2 linked regions of the Pelodiscus sinensis genome follow. The protein of the gene in region 2 binds, or shares a complex with, the protein of the main gene of each other region. Links are inferred from orthologs where the notes say so. Each region holds a gene or a part of one and is shown on either strand. Other genes may lie near its edges.

Region 1 (7,179 bases), on a different chromosome or scaffold from region 2:
CCCCAGTACAACCCCGCCACACACACAACACACCATCCCAGTGCAACCCCGCCACACACACAACGCAACACAGCGCCCCAGTGCAACCCCGCCACACACACAACACACCATCCCAGTGCAACCCCGCAACACACACAACGCAACACAGTGCCCCAGTACAACCCCGCAACACACACAACACAACACAGCGCCCCAGTACAACCCCGCCACACACACAACACAACACACCATCCCAGTGCAACCCCGCCACACACACAACACAACACAGCGCCCCAGTGCAACCCCGCCACACATACAACACACCATCCCAGTACAACCCCGCCACACACACAACGCACCACAGCGCCCCAGTGCAACCGGGCAACACACGTTACAACATAAACACCACATTCTACAGGGACAATGTAACAGCCACCCACAGTGCAACCCCGCAACACACACAACAAACACAACACACCACAGCGCCTCAGTGCAACTCTGCGACACACACAACACACCATCCCAGTGCAACCGTGCGACACACGTGCCACAACATACACATAATGCAACATGCTACAGACAATGCAACACCTGCACATAAAGCACTAGTGTGAGAATGCAACACACACAGCAATACGTGCTACTAATACAATGCAATACACAAAATGTATGCCACAGCATGCCATCTACCCATAATGCAACAGTGAGACAACACCACACACATATGCACAGCAACATACACTACCAACACAATGCTACACACAGCCATGATGCAACAACCCACACCTGCAATACAATAACACAACACACACACGCTACAGTTTACAGCACACTGCACTAGCAATACCCGTTGCAACACCCACCCATAATGCAACACGCCCAGTGCTACACACAACACAATGCTGCCGACAACGCAACACCTACCCACAATGCAACAAGTACAAGGTGCAAAGACCCTGCAACACCCAGGCAAAGAGCAATACCCCAACACACACACACACACACACACACACACACACACACACACACACACAGCCCCCTCCTCTTCGCAGGGCCTGTGCCTGCAGACACCTCCCTCGTCTGGGTTATTTATAGACAGCGACGAGACTGGTGCCCCTCACCCCCATGCCCAGACACACTCAGATGGTACCTGTGCACAGACACACGCCAACACACGCCCCAACACGCTGACCCCCTACTCTCCCTTCCCCCATGGCCCCCACCTGGGGACACAGAGCCGGATGCCCCCAGGGGTTCAGCCACACTCCCAGCCCCAGTGGAGGGTGCCCCGGCACACGCGTGTACGGTTACATGCCTGTCCCACGCCTGCCTGGCTCACATGGGGCAGCCAGGGCAAGGGGGCACCGGCGACATCCGTGCATGGCAGGGCCGAAGGGGGCTGCATGGGCAGCGTTACATGCGTGTCTCCATGCCCCCCCCCCCCAGGCTGGACCTTGCAGCCCTGTTTGGCATCCGCTGGGAAGGGATCAGGAGGTTTGTGCCCCCACAAACTTTGGGGTCACCCCCCCCACATACTCCTGCGGAGCTGAGGCCCTCCCTGAGGGTGGATCCGTGGAGGGGGGCAGCTCTGACCCAGAGGAGTGAAGAATCCAAGTGGGGGGGGGCCTCTCCCCACCCCACCCCCAAGGAACACAATGCAGTTGGGGGAAGGGTGGAGGAGCTGTCCAGCCCCCTTGAAGCATCCCCCCCCCCGCAGAATCAGCTGGGATCGTCCCCCCCCCCCCCCACAAGGTCCAGCTGCCTTGCCCCCTCCCTGTAGATTTCTCCTGCAATGGGACAGAGGGTCCCCCAGAGAGCCAGCCCCCCATCCATGGAGGGAGACACAGGGCCCCCGGGGGCAGTATGGGGGGCAGACAGAGGCTGGAGGGGGTCAGAGAAGGCAGCGGGAGGGGGGTGCACACAGGAGGATGGCTGCGTTGGGGGGCAGGGCGCTAGGGAGCGGGGCTGGGGAAAGTGGGGGGGGGCCGGGCAAGGGGGGAGGGCAGGGGCCGGGCAGGGGCTGGGGGCGGGGGCGGGGGACGGCCCGGCTCCTACCTGCAGCGCCGCGAGTCTGATGCTGCGGAGGCCAGTGGGGGAGGGGGGCAGGGAGCTGTCCCGGCTCCTACCGGCAGCAGCCGAGGGGTGCATGGGGGGGGGGGGGAAGCAGGTGCACGTCGGGGGATGGGGGCCGATGTGCGCTGGGGGAGGGGACAGGCCATGGGGGGCGCAGGGCTGAGCTCCGGAGGACGCAGCGGGATGGGGTGCATCTGCAGGCTGGGGGGGGCAGGCATGGGAGATGAGGGGAGCGGTGGAGATGCATGGCCAGGGTGGTTCAAGGGGGGGGTGCGTGGCTGGGAGAGGGGAGAAGGGCCGGGGGTGCAGATCGAGGGGTGTATACAGGGGGGAGAGGCTTGACTTGCACCGTGGGGGGTGCCCGACTGGGGGGATGGGAGGAGATGAAGTGGGGCGGTGGAGGGAGATGGCTGGGCTTGGGGGGGTTCATGCGGGGGAGGGGTGCAGATGCAGGCAGGGGATGGAGGGGGGGTGCAGGGCTGAGGGTGCATTGGGGAGGGGTGCAGATGCAGGCAGGGGATGGAGGAGGAGGGGTGCAGGGCTGGGGGGTGCATTGGGGAGGGGTGCAGATGCAGGCAGGGGATGGGGGGGTGCAGGGCTGAGGGTGCATTGGGGAGGGGTGCAGATGCAGGCAGGGGATGGAGGGGGGTGCAGGGCTGAGGGTGCATTGGGGATGGGTGCAGGGCTGGGGGGTGCATTGGGGAGGGGTGCAGATGCAGGCAGGGGATGGAGGGGGGGGTGCAGGGCTGAGGGTGCATTGGGGAGGGGTGCAGATGCAGGCAGGGGATGGAGGGGGAGGGGTGCAGGACTGGGAGGGTGCATTGGGGGAGGAGGTGGAGATGCAGGGCAGGGATGGAGGGGGGGAGGGCAGGGACGTACCTGCGGCGGCCGGTGCCGATGCTGCGGAGCCGGCGGACGCCCGGGGGTCGCGCCCCTCCCCCGCCCCGCGCTGCCGGAGCCCGGCCGGACGCGGCTCCCGGCCCCTCCGCGCCGCCCCCCGCCCCGCCTCTCCGGCGCCGGCCCCTTTAAGGGAACCCTGAAGGACGGGCCGCCTCGCCAATGGGCGGCCGCCAGAGCCCGGGGCGGCCGCAAAGTCCCTCCCAGGCGCGGGGGTGGGAGGGGGCGGCTCCGAGCGCCGGGGTCCGGCGGCCAATGGCTGAGGGGCTGCCGGGCGGGGGAGCCAATGAGGGAGTCCGGGAGGCGGGGCTCACTTTTAGGATGATGTCATCCGGTGTGCGGCGGGCGGGAGGGGGGCATAGGGGCAAATCACACGCCGGGGAATTGCCCCAACCCCGCCCCCTGGGGAAATGCATCCCCCCCGGGAATTATCCCAGCCCCCCCCTCCAGGAAATGCATCCCCCCGGGAATTATCCCAGCCCCCCCTCCAGGAAATGCATCCCCCCGGGAATTATCCCCCCCCCGAATTGCTCCAGTCCCCTGCTCTGGGAAACCTCCCCCCCCCAGGGAATTGTCCCAGCAAACTTGGGGCAGGCTGCCTAGGGGGTGCAAAGATTGGGGGATGGTTCTAGGGTGGAGGCAGGTAGCACCAGCCTGTCCAACCCACCCGGGGGGGGGGGGGAGGGCTTGCCCCACATTGCACTTCCTGCCCCCGAGCCAGCATCCCTGGAAACACCGCTGTGTGGGTACCAGCCTGGCCCCGCAGGGTCAGGTCCCCGGGGGGTTGGGTTTCTCTCCGCCCCACGGTGGGGGACCAGGGAGGGAGGGCCCCCCAGCTCCATGCCCTCTCCTTGCTAACTCCATGAACCCCAGAAACCTCCCCCTGCCTAGGACCACCTGGCTGTGGCCCTCACCCCCCCAGCCCTGAGTTGGCTCCTGTGTGGCCCAGGGCAGGGCTGTCAGCCCACCGGAGGCAGCTCCCCCAGGGTCCGGGGAGCAAGCTAGGGAACAACCTCCTGGTCTGGGAAAAACGGCCACCTCATTAGCTACCTGATTCTACACTGGGGCCGAGGATGGCGTTAGCCCTGCCGCAGGCAGACGGACAGAGCCTGGAGCAAACATCCCTTCCCCACACAGCGGGAGCGGCTGCCCCACAGCCAGAGCCAGAAGTGAAATCACCTCTCCACTCGCCCCAGCGAGTCCCCCTTTGCCCCCTGGGGGTCATGCTCCGCGAGCAGGGACTGCGGCCACCCCGGGATCGAGGCACAAAGGACACAGACATGCACACCCCAGACTCAGTCGCATCGTTTTATTCACAGTCAGGCAGCCCCCCCTTCTTCCAGCAGAGGCGGGAGCCGCAGCAAAGGGCACGAACGTTTGTGACTGGAAGAGGGACAGACAGCAGGGACTGAGAGCGGGAGGCACCCGTTGGCTCCCCTTCCCTCCCAGAGCCAAGAGAGAACCCAGGAGTCCTGGCTCCCAGCACCCCCCTGCTCTAACCACTAGCCTCCACTCCCCTCCCAGAGCCAAGAGAGAACCCAGGAGTCCTGGCTCCCAGCACCCCCCCCTGCTCTAACCACTAGCCTCCACTCCCCTCCCAGAGCCAAGAGAGAACCCAGGAGTCCTGGCTCTCAGCACCCCCCCTGCTCTAACCACTAGCCTCCACTCCCCTCCCAGAGCCAAGAGAGAACCCAGGAGTCCTGGCTCTCAGCACCCCCCCCTGCTCTAACCACTAGCCTCCACTCCCCTCCCAGAGCCAAGAGAGAACCCAGGAGTCCTGGCTCCCAGCCGCACCCTCTGACTCCCTCCCTGGGAATCTCACCCTTGTAGTTCCCTGGCAGACTCAGCAGCCAAACCAGAAAAACAGACTTGAGGGGGGTGACTCACTGAGGGAGGGGCGCATCCCTGATTCCCAAGCTCCATTTCCCACCCCCAGCTCACCTGGGGAGCAGGCAGGGAGCTCAGCCCCACCTGCCCTGGAAGGGGCAGGAGAAGGGAGCTATGGGGGATGTCAGGGACCAGAAATGATGCTGCAGGTTGGGAGTGAGGGGCACCAGCAGGGCTGGGGGGACAGAGCTTGGGGGGGGCAGGGGCTTCTGGCAGGAGTGAGGGGCACCAGCAGAGCTGGAGGCAGGAGCTAGGGGCACCGGCAGGGGTGGGGGGCCGGGGCCGAGCTGCTGGCCGGAGAGAGGGGCACTAACACCCTACACAGGACATACCCCAGTGATCCCCCACCCCCCCAAGCAGCGAGTTCGCCACCTGGTGGCCACTCACTGAACTGCACCATAAACACATACTGGATCAGGGCCCTTCTGGGGTGGGGTGCAGGGACAGGGCAGACGCGGACCCCTCGCCCAGCACCGGGACACGGCCCCTCTGGGCTGGGCACACGGGGACCCCTCGCTTGGCACTGGGATGGGTCGAGGGGCAAAGACACACAAGAATTTGGGACAGGAAGTGAAGGCGAATCCCGTACAGTGGGTGGTTTGGGGGCAGTGCATTTCTCCGGGATTCCCCCCCCTTCCCTGCCTTCAGCAGAGCCCTCCCCCCCCCCCCGACCACCAGAGTCTCGGGTGCCGGATTCCCACCGGCTCACGCACAAGGGGCAGTTTTAAATAGGGGAATAAATAAATACGGTTCACGGCAGGGCCGGTGTGGTCCCGATAAATAGACCCAGCTCCACAGAAAAACTGGGGGGAGATGTGGGAGGCCGGGCGGGGGCCCAGCCTCCCCAGCACGGGACCTGACAGGGGTTATCCCCGCGACTCCAGAGACCTGGGGAGAGAACAGAGGGAGACATGAGTCGCAGCAGAAACCGGGGGGAGCAGCGAGATTTTGGGGTGCTGGTACCGGGAGATTTGGGAGGCCCTTAGGTGTAGCAGGGTGCTGGCGCCAGTGGCGGGGAATGTGGGGGGGGGCTCTTACGAGTAGCTGTGGTGCTGCTGGCGCCAGTGGGGGGGTTGGGGAGGATGTGAGGAGGAATCGGGGCGGTTGGGGAGCTTGGGGGGAAGCTTCCCTCACAAATAGCTGCGGTGCCACTGGTGATGTAGGGGGATTTGGAGGGTTTGGGGGGCTCTTATGAGTAGCTGTGGGTACTGCTGGCCCCTGCAGGGGGTGAGGGGGGGCTCGGGGGGCCCTTACGAGTAGCTATGGTGCTGCTGGCGCCGGCGGGCCGTGCGCATCTTCTCGAAGCGGGCCTCCATCTCCTCCAGCACCTTGGGCGTGTAGCGCACGACCAGCTTCACGGTGCCCTGCGCCGCCTTCAGCAGCTCCACCGCCTTCTCGTGCTGCTCCCCCTCCACGCTCTGCACCGCCGGACAGACGGACACGTGGCAGGGTCAGAGGGGACGGACGCTCCCGCCGCGGATGCCCTCCCCCGCTCGCTGCCTCAGTTTCCCTGCGCCCTCAGTCCAGCCGCCCCCGAGCTCCCCCGCTCACCACGCCGTTGACAGACAGCAGCTGGTCGCCCCGCTTGAGGCCTCCGTGCCGGTCGGCCACGCCGCCAGGGATGACGCGGGAGATGTAGATGGGTGAGTTCTGTTCCTTGCCGCCCATGATGTTGAACCCGAGCCCCTCGTCCGTCTTGGGCAGCTCCACCACCCGGGGGTGGGCGTGGCCCTCGCTTGCCGCGAACGCCGCCACCGTGGCCTGCGGGCAGAGACCCAGGGTGCTGGGGGGGGGGGGCAGGCGGAGGGACCCTACGCCCCGCACCTCTGCCCCAGTCCCTAAGGTTAGGCCCAGGCCTCAGGGGCAGCTCGGATCCCTGGGGGGCAGGACCTAGGCCCAGATCCCAGGAGCCAGAGGGTCTCCGGTGGGGAGGGAGTCGGGATTCCCAGGGGGTTACTTAGGTTCCGATTTCACAGGGTCCCAAAACCCAGGAGGCAGGATTCCTGGGGGGAGGGGGTTACCTCGGCCCACATCTTGGGGTGTCCAGGACAATACCTTGGGCCAGATATCGGGGGCAGAGGGTCCCCAGGGCACACCTAGGCCCAGATCTCAGGGGGCAGAAGTACCTTGGCCGTGGCATGGGCCCGGATCTCGGCGCTGCCCGCGATCTCCAGCGTGTCATAGAGCTGCTCATAAACCTGGTGGTGGAGACGAGGAGGAGGGGCTGTCAGGGCGAGGGCTGGGGATCCCAGAAGTCCGGACAGTGACCATCGAATGCCAGGGGAAGGGAGATGGGGGGGGGGGCTGGGCCAGGGCACGGGGGCTGCAGTGGACTCAGTGTGG
Region 2 (8,092 bases):
TGGTCTTGTTAGGGCTGAGTTGGAGCCAGGAGCTCTCCTCTTGCAGGAGTTCTGAGATCTCAGCAGTGCTGAGTGGCAATAGTGAATGAGTGAGAATGGCCCGGGATTGGCACACGTGGCAGTATTTCTCTGAGTGATTGCTGTAGCTACTGGAAGTAGGGACCGGTTCTGATCCCTGTAGACGTTTCAAGTGCTGCACGCTCAGACCTGTCCAGTGAAAGTAGCTGTAGAAACACTCTTGCTGCTTCACCAGTGTTCCATGCACACAGGCGAGCTCTCTCTCCAGCCAGCGGAAGCATACTGCAATCCATGGGAGCTGGGCTTCCTTTTGTAAGGGAAGCCTGGGTTTGATGAGCCTATCTAGTGAGGTCATGGCATGGATAACGTCTGTGAAATCGAGGACAGGCAAAGCAGCAGTCCCTGGGTTAGTAAAGAGAAGGTGGTTCTGACCTGTTTGCTGAATGTATTTTGTGTTTTCAGTTCAGCAGTGAAATCCAACAAAAAGGATTGAAATTAGGTGGGTTTTTTTGGGGGGGGGGTTAATGGTTTTTTTTAAAAGTGCTTCTAATGCATCAGATGTGAAGCAATGTACACAAAAAGGAAGGGTTCCTTACCAGTATGGGATTCTCTGGATGCATTGCCTCTGCAGTGAGCCAGGGAAGCCCATCAGAATGGCGAGAGAGATTAGTGGGTGTACATCACTTAGCCTCACACCATTCTGGAGCTAAGAGCACGTATGAAACCTTGCCCCAAGTCGTTTCTCAGTTCCTCGGAGGGTCTGTTTCTGGAAAGGGACGGTTAGCAGGAATCGGTTTAGAACTGAGGCGGTAATACATTCAGTGAAACACCTGTCACCTTCTCTTCTCCCACAACACTTCCTGTGCAAATCCCACTTTAGGAAACCAGTGAGCAGTCACAAAATTTGGGAGGCAGCCTGAGAAGTGCTAATTAGAGGTGGAAGTACTGCACGCCCACAGAGAGATCTGATCCAGCTTCCAGACTGCAGCCAGCTCTACACTGGACCTACAAGGTCGGTTTGAGGTATGCAACTCCAGCTGTGTAGAATACGTAGCTGGAGTGGGCTTACCTTAAGCCGAGCTTGGTATCGTCCACACGGCGGGAGGCTGATGGGAGCAAATACTCCCGTCAGCTTCCCTTCCTCCTTGCGATTGCGAGGAGCGCAGGTGCTGCCGCCCTCAGCATTTGATTTACGGGTCTAAATGGAACCTGCTACATCGAAGGCTGAGTGTCGATCTCGGGTGTGACGAGTGTTATCGTGCCCTGAGAGAAGAACATTTCAGAAAAGTCGAAAGGCAAGCTCGAGTAGCAGCGTAACAGGCTTAGGAACGGACGTTACTTATGCCCGTGCGGCTGCCTTTCCTCCGAGTCCGCCTGGCACTGAGATGACAGTTGGCTCATAAGAGCTGAATATACAACTTGCTCTCAGACAAATCACCTGATCTCTGTGCTCCCTAGCCTGTCAGTGGTGTGACTTGCAAATGCCATGGCTTCTCTACAGCAACCGAGCCTAGGATTTTTAGAGGCGCCTACAGGATTTAGATTAAGTGCGTTTTTAACATCCTACCTCTCCCACTTAGCATCGTTGTGAAGAGCAAGTGTCCCACCTAGTTAGAAAGAAGCCCGGGAACTGAGCAGACTTAAGAGGTAAAATTCTATATCCTTCCTGGGTGCATATACTGGGGAGAAGCCTGCAAAGCCACCTTCTCTCACTTGAAAAAAGTCTGCGAGGAGAAGCTAGAAGGACATTGTGTATCCTAGAGGTAACAGCCATTAGCAATGTACCCTTCAGGGAAATATCACGGAGAGAGCATAAGCTTAAACTCAAAAGGAGCTTCCAGAGGCTTGGTCAGAATTACATTCACATCTTACAGCGTTTTGAATCTATCGGGTGGTGGGTGTGGCGAGGGAGAGAGAGATCTCTATATCCCTATCCCTAGAGGCTTCCAATGAAACTAATGTTAGCAATATATGCATAACTTAGATGCTTGGTAGTTAGCTTGGCTTTGGTGCAATAGGTGCACCAAAATTTTTGTAGTACTACTTGTGTGTGAACGAGAGATGCCAAGTGCAGCAATCTGTTTAATGGAGGATGCAGAAAATCATGGAATTATTTGACATAGTGAGGATCCTCTCATATACCAGAGCGAAACAGAAACGAATACAAAAAGCTTCAATGGGTCTCAAATGGAATTCACCAGAAGACTTTTTAAAATCTGTCAAACTCCAGTCAGAGCAGATGTTGAAGTTACAGCACAGTGATCCCTGGCTCTCTTCTGTGGGGAAGGGGAGCTGTGTAAAAACTGGAAGCTCCTAGGAAGATGTACACTTCAGAATGAAATTAATGAGGGACTTTTCTTTCCACACAGACTTGTTTGTTCTGGGGCCTACCAAGCTGAAGCAGGCATATGGGACACTGCTGTCTTAGAAGCCCATTACAAGAAAAATGGTTGGTACTATCACCCTGGAAATGCCTTGTGCTTTGCAAGACAGGCAGAAAAGATCCATGTGGACTAAATTACATAGCCAGTCCACAGAAGGGAAGCTTTCCACAAATGTGATGACATCTTTATTTTTAGAGTTGTCTGACAAGGCTTTCCAGGAAAGTGATGTGCATGGGCTGGGCTTTGGATGGGTCTGATGAAATGCTTGTAGACTGAGGTTAGTGTTGTACAATGACAATTTCCTGGCTCTGGGTAGCACTGCTTCTCCCTGGGACGCTATGTTCTGAGTGCCATCTCTCCCTCCCTTCCTAGGGTTCATTTCTATTTTCTCTCTGCTTCCGTGCTTTTTTCCAAGGTTTCTTACTGTATAAAGCAGTGAGCAAATGTGAAATATGAGTGAATGAGATTATAAATATCACTCTAATATGTGTTCCTTGTGTTCTTATTTCATTGGTATTTATAGCCCTTGTTTTCCTCTGTACAATAGCAAAGAATCAGAACAGGTTAAATAACATGAGGAACATTGTAAAAGAGTGGACACATTCCAGGAATGTTTCCACTTCAAAACATAAGAATAGCTGCTGGAAGGTTTCGTGGACGGTAGCAGAACTTGTTCAGCCTCTTGGAGAAAAGGCTGAGCAGCTAGCAGCTCTCTCCTGCTGAATTTTCCTCACCATCCTGAGTAGAAGAGGGAGGGATGGAAATGCACAGAGCCTCTGGGCCGCTTCTGGCGTGTGCTTCCAGGCTCAGCACCTTCACTTCAGTACCTTGAATGTGATTTGTTGGTAAAGAGAGACTGTACCAAGCTTGTACGAGCTGTAAGATGCTACAGGCTGCATGTGCAGACAGCCCTCGGAAGGAGGGTGCAGTGTACCCTAGTGATCCATTAAGAGTCTGACTCCGTAAAGGCCCTTTCTTTGGTTATGCTGCTGTTCGAATGCCATGATGGGGGAGAAGAGAGAGCTGAATCTGATACCAGCTTGTGTTTTTTCTCAGTAACTGAGATTTGTAACTTCATTGCAATGATATGTTGTCTGTGTTCTATATATGAGCTTACGGGCAAGCTAGTTAGTACACAGGTCCTGTGTTTTTTCTGACACTAAAGACAAGCTGTTTCTCAGTTTGGCATCATTCTCAGGGTGGTTTCCTGAAAAAGAGAGGGGGAAGCTGATCCCTCAGCTTGGTGTGGTCCTTGATTTTTAGTAATTTTAGGGGTAAGAAATGCAACTCAGCAACCTTCATGCAGTTTAAATGCCTTGTGCTTTATGAAAAGGGGGAAAAAATAGCAGAGGTGGTGGGATAGGTAGTGGTGATGGGTCCCACTCCTGCATGCAGATAGGTCCCACTACCAGCTGTAAGGCATTATAGCCGCTTGCCAGGGCCTGGCTAGAAAAACTGAAGCCTAGTGCTCAGTGTGCCCAGGGCTGTCAGTCCGTCGCTGAGGACACAGGGGCCATGCAGGCAGGACCACGCTTGGGCCTGCTGGAGCTGATGCCTGAGCTGGCAGCAGCTGGGTCTCAGTGGGTAGGGTGTGTATGTTCCTCCTGCCCAGTGGGAGCACATCAGGGGGGAGGTTCCACCTGCCCTGCAGCAGCTTAGCCGGGGTTCCATGTGCCTCGTAGGAGCTCAGCTGGGGGAGGGGGGAAGAGTACCACATGCCCTGCGGGAGCTCGGGGAGGGGGGGGTTCCACGTGCCCTGTGGGAGTTCAGTAGGGAAGGTTCCACATGCCCTTCAGGAGCTCAGTGGTGGGGGTTCCACCTGTCCAACGGGAGTGTGTGTGTGGGGGGTGTTTTCCACATGACCTGGGGCAGCTCTGCCGGGGGTGAGATTCCCCATGCCCTGTGGGAGTCGGAGTGGGGTTTCCACATGCCCTGTGGGAGCTCAGCTGAGGTGGGGGTTCCACGTGCCCTGCGGGAGCCCGGGGGAGGGGAGGGTCCACGTGCCCTGCCGGAGCCGGGGGAGGGGAGGGTCCACGTGCCCTGCCGGAGCCGGGGGAGGGGAGGGTCCACGTGCCCTGCGGGAGCCCGGGGGAGGGGGGGTCCACGTGCCCTGCGGGAGCCGGGGGGGGGGGAGGATCCACGTGCCCTGCGGGAGCCCGGGGAGGGGGTCCACGTGCCCTGCGGGAACCGGGGGGGGGGGTCCACGTGCCCTGCGGGAGCCCGGGGGAGGGGGGGGTCCACGTGCCCCGCGGGAGCCCGGGGAGGGGGAGGATCCACGTGCCCTGCGGGAGCCCGGGGGAGGGGGAGGATCCACGTGCCCTGCGGGAGCCCGGGGGGGGGGGGGGTCCACGTGCCCTGCGGGAGCCCGGGGAGGGGGAGGATCCACGTGCCCTGCGGGAGCCCGGGGGGGGGTGTGTCCACGTGCCCCGCGGGAGCCGGGGGGGTCCACGTGCCCCGCGGGAGCCGGGGGGGTCCACGTGCCCCGCGGCCAGGCACTGGCTCTCGAGCGGCGGGGCAGCGCAGGCCGGGGGCGGTGGGGGCTCCCGCCGGCAGGGGGCGCTGCGGCGGCGGAAGCGGCGCGCCGCCCAGGCCGGAAGCGGAAGCGGCGGCTCATGAATATTCGGGCGCTCATTGACAGGCTAATGAGCGGCTGCATGCGGAATGAGGCGGGCGGGGCCTGCGCGGGGCGGTTGGGCGGCGGGGCCTGAGGAGCCGGCGGCGCCATGGAGGGCGGCGGGGGCCCGGCGCGCGGCGGCCGCGACAAGAAGAAGGGGAAGGGCCCGGAGGAGGCGGGGCCCGCGGACCCCGGGAAGTCCAAGAAATTCGTGAGTGGGGGAGGGGCCGCCGCGCGGAGCCCCCCCGGGCCGGGACACCCCCCCCGGGGCTGTGAGCCGGGACACCCCCCCCCCGGGTCCTCGAGCCCCCCCCCCCGGGGCTGTGAGCCGGGACACCCCCCCCCCCCCCCCCGGGCTCTCCCCGCCCCCCCCCCCCCCCCCCCGGGCAGAGCTTAGCGCGGGCCCCTCGCTGAGCCGGGACTCCGCCGGGCGCGGGCCGCTCCGGGGGGAGCTCAGGCCGCGAAGGAAACGCCCCGCAGCCCGGGGAGCCCCGCCGAGGGGAGCGGGCGGTGCCGCACACTGCGCTGCTCAGCCCCCGCTCTGCACCCTTGGGCAGGAAGCGAAGGGACGGGCCTTGGGCGGGCGCTGCAATGCTTCCAGCTGGAGTCACTTGAAACGTTTGTGGGACGTTTAATCGTTCGTGTCTGTTGTAAGTCTCTGAGGCAAAGAGCGCGTGAGGAGGTTTCTTTTTCTCTGAGGCCCTGGCTGCTGCGGGATGCAAAGAACCGGTATTGGCAGCCTGCAGTCCATGGACCACCTGAGGCCCATCAGAGTTGTGTGTGGAGTCCACAAGACATTGTGTTTTCTCTTGCCCATGTGCAGGGTTGCCAGAGTCCCTTGCTTTCCTGTCTGTATTACTCACATGACACACACACAAAGTCAGTGCACAGGAAGTGAGGCGTGTGCTGATTGCACACAACTTTGACTGCGAGAGCCGTGCACTCTCTTTGTATCCAATCACAGCGCTGCTTCGGTTCAGTCGGTACAGCCCGCAAATTCTAGGTACTCAGGCACAGTGAGCAAAACTAGCTTATCCCAGGAGATTGTCTTGGTTATGACAATCTTGTGTCCTACTGGGATGTAGGGCCACTCATGCGGCCCATTCACTAGCCTTGGTTGCCCATCACTGGATTAGAGGCTTGTTCTGGCTAAGAATCTGCTGTGTCTGTAGAAGGATGGAGCCAAGTTGGAGGTGATTCAGAGAAGAGCAGTCAGAATGATTGAGGGACTAGAGGCATTCGTCTGAGGAAAAATGAAGTGCCTGTAGTTAGGAATGTAAAAGTATAACCATTTAAACTGTTAATCATATTCACAGTAACATGGAGGCTCCCACCCCACTCCTGGACTGCAGGCAGGAGCCTGCTATCATCCTGCACTGCTGCTGCCTCTGATAGAAAGGTGGCAGCACGGGGGCGGGAGCCGCCTCCCCAGGAGTGGGGTGGTAGGCACTGCAGGTGCATGTAACTGCTGAGATTTTCAGTGATTACAGAATTACCTAATTACCCGCTTTTTAACATCCCTATCTGTAGTTCAGTGTGGGTGTGTAGCCACAAGGAGGGGGAATGATCCATACGATTATGAAGGATATAAGAAGAAATTGTGAACTATGGTTTAGTATGGAGAGAATAAAAGGAACACAGCTTCAAGAATGCAAATAAAACCAAACTCCCTTCCCTCGCTAACCATTGGAGAATATTTAAACTGGAATTTTAAAAAAAATACAATTTGCTTTTTATGTTTTTTGAATTATGTACAATCTCATTTTTAAGAATTAAAACTAAAACCAAGCTGCCTCTTTTCTTAAGGCGAAAGAAGACTGCATATCAGAAACCATTTGTTAATAAGACTTTTAGTCTATGAAATAGTCTTTAAGGTGCCACAGGACACCTTGTTTTTGCTGAAACAGATCAACACAGCTATCCCTCTGAAAGGAGTTCCAATTTGCATAGGTTTCACCACATTCCCCTGAGAGACTAACAGCTTTTGTGGGCTGGAGCCCATGCATCTGTCAAAGTGGGCTCCAACTCATGAAAGCTTATATCCAAATACATTTGCTAGTCTTCAAGGTGCCAAAGGATGACTTGTAAATTTGGACTATTGCTCAGGAGAAAATAGAGAACAGTTCTGAAGTGGCCTTTGAAGGAAAATGGGTCTGGGTTGGAAGCACAAATGGACATAGTTGCTTTAATAGCTTTTCTTAGGCTGTGTCTGCACTTGCACGTTGCTCCACAAAACTTGTTCATGGGTGCTTAAGCCCATTCTCCCCTCCCCTCATTGGCATTGGTGTGTGCCGACTTTTAGCAACAAGGCTGAGTCGACACAACCCTGTCGCAAAAAGCTGTGTAGTGTAGGTACATCCTCAGTCTTTACTTTTTTTTTTTTGCTTTTTGTGATTATATGGGCTCTTCCACCCCCTGCTTTGAGATGTAGAATAATTGTGTCAGGAGAGCTGGATTATTCCCTTTTACATTGTAGCTACACTTGCACTTGTTTGACACAACTTTTGTCATTCACAGGTGTTTAACAGCAATCATCTCCCCCTTTCCTCAGTGAATGACAAAGTTTTGCCCTGGCAAGTACGTGAACACTCCTGCTGACGGAGCAAAGCCTGGTCATTGGAGGTTAGAAGTGTTTTGTCAGGAAAAGTACTAAGAGTGTTCACACACACACACACTGGCTTTGAGACAGGGCTTTGTCGACACAGCCTTGTCTTTAAAAAGCTGCGTAGTGTAGAGATGGTGTCCCTGGCTTCTGTTTGTCTGGGAATGGGCGATGGAAGGGATCCCGTGAGGATTCTCTGTTGCATTTCCTCCCTCTGGGGCACCTGGTGTGGTCCTCAAGAACATAAGAACGGCCAGACTGGGTCAGACCAACGATCCATCTAGCCCAGTATCCTGTCTGCCGACAGTGGCCAGTGCCAGTGACCCAAAGGGGGTGGACCCAAGACAATGGTCAAGCAATTTGTCTCCTGCCATCCTTCTCCAGCTTTTGACAAACAGAGGCCAGAGGCACCATTCCTTACCCCCTGGTTAATAGCCTTTTATGGACCTAACCTCCATGAATTTATCTAGGTCT

What was found. Proteins that work in one complex are often made in the same cells at the same time.
Region 1: the proteins of DIAPH1 (region 2) and PPFIA3 are in contact, whole or in part, in a crystal structure (PDB 4UWX), measured with the Mus musculus proteins. The link is inferred for Pelodiscus sinensis from reciprocal best matches to the Homo sapiens genes DIAPH1 and PPFIA3. Residues at the interface, in NP_031884.1 of Mus musculus: Lys252, Ser255, Ala256, Ile259, Gln307, Asn310, Ala311, Thr314, Pro315, Ala316, Glu317, Arg322, Gln352, Cys354, Val355, Glu358, Gln359, Glu362; in NP_084017.2 of Mus musculus: Pro719, Arg720, Arg723, Leu724, Arg726, Met727, Ala728, Ala730, Leu731.

Annotation. Positions count from the first base shown.
Region 1 is NW_027465870.1:75,881-83,059, reverse strand, and holds the start of PPFIA3 (liprin-alpha-3), read right to left. Parts: upstream 3,071-7,179; 5' UTR 2,932-3,070; intron 1-2,931. Other genes in the region: LIN7B (protein lin-7 homolog B), read right to left, coding at 5,703-5,724, 6,091-6,254, 6,388-6,597, 6,963-7,034. UniProt on the Homo sapiens protein: May regulate the disassembly of focal adhesions. May localize receptor-like tyrosine phosphatases type 2A at specific sites on the plasma membrane, possibly regulating their interaction with the extracellular environment and their association with substrates.
Region 2 is NC_134727.1:1,073,411-1,081,502, forward strand, and holds the start of DIAPH1 (protein diaphanous homolog 1), read left to right. Parts: upstream 1-5,065; 5' UTR 5,066-5,125; coding exon 5,126-5,227; intron 5,228-8,092. UniProt on the Homo sapiens protein: Actin nucleation and elongation factor required for the assembly of F-actin structures, such as actin cables and stress fibers. Binds to the barbed end of the actin filament and slows down actin polymerization and depolymerization.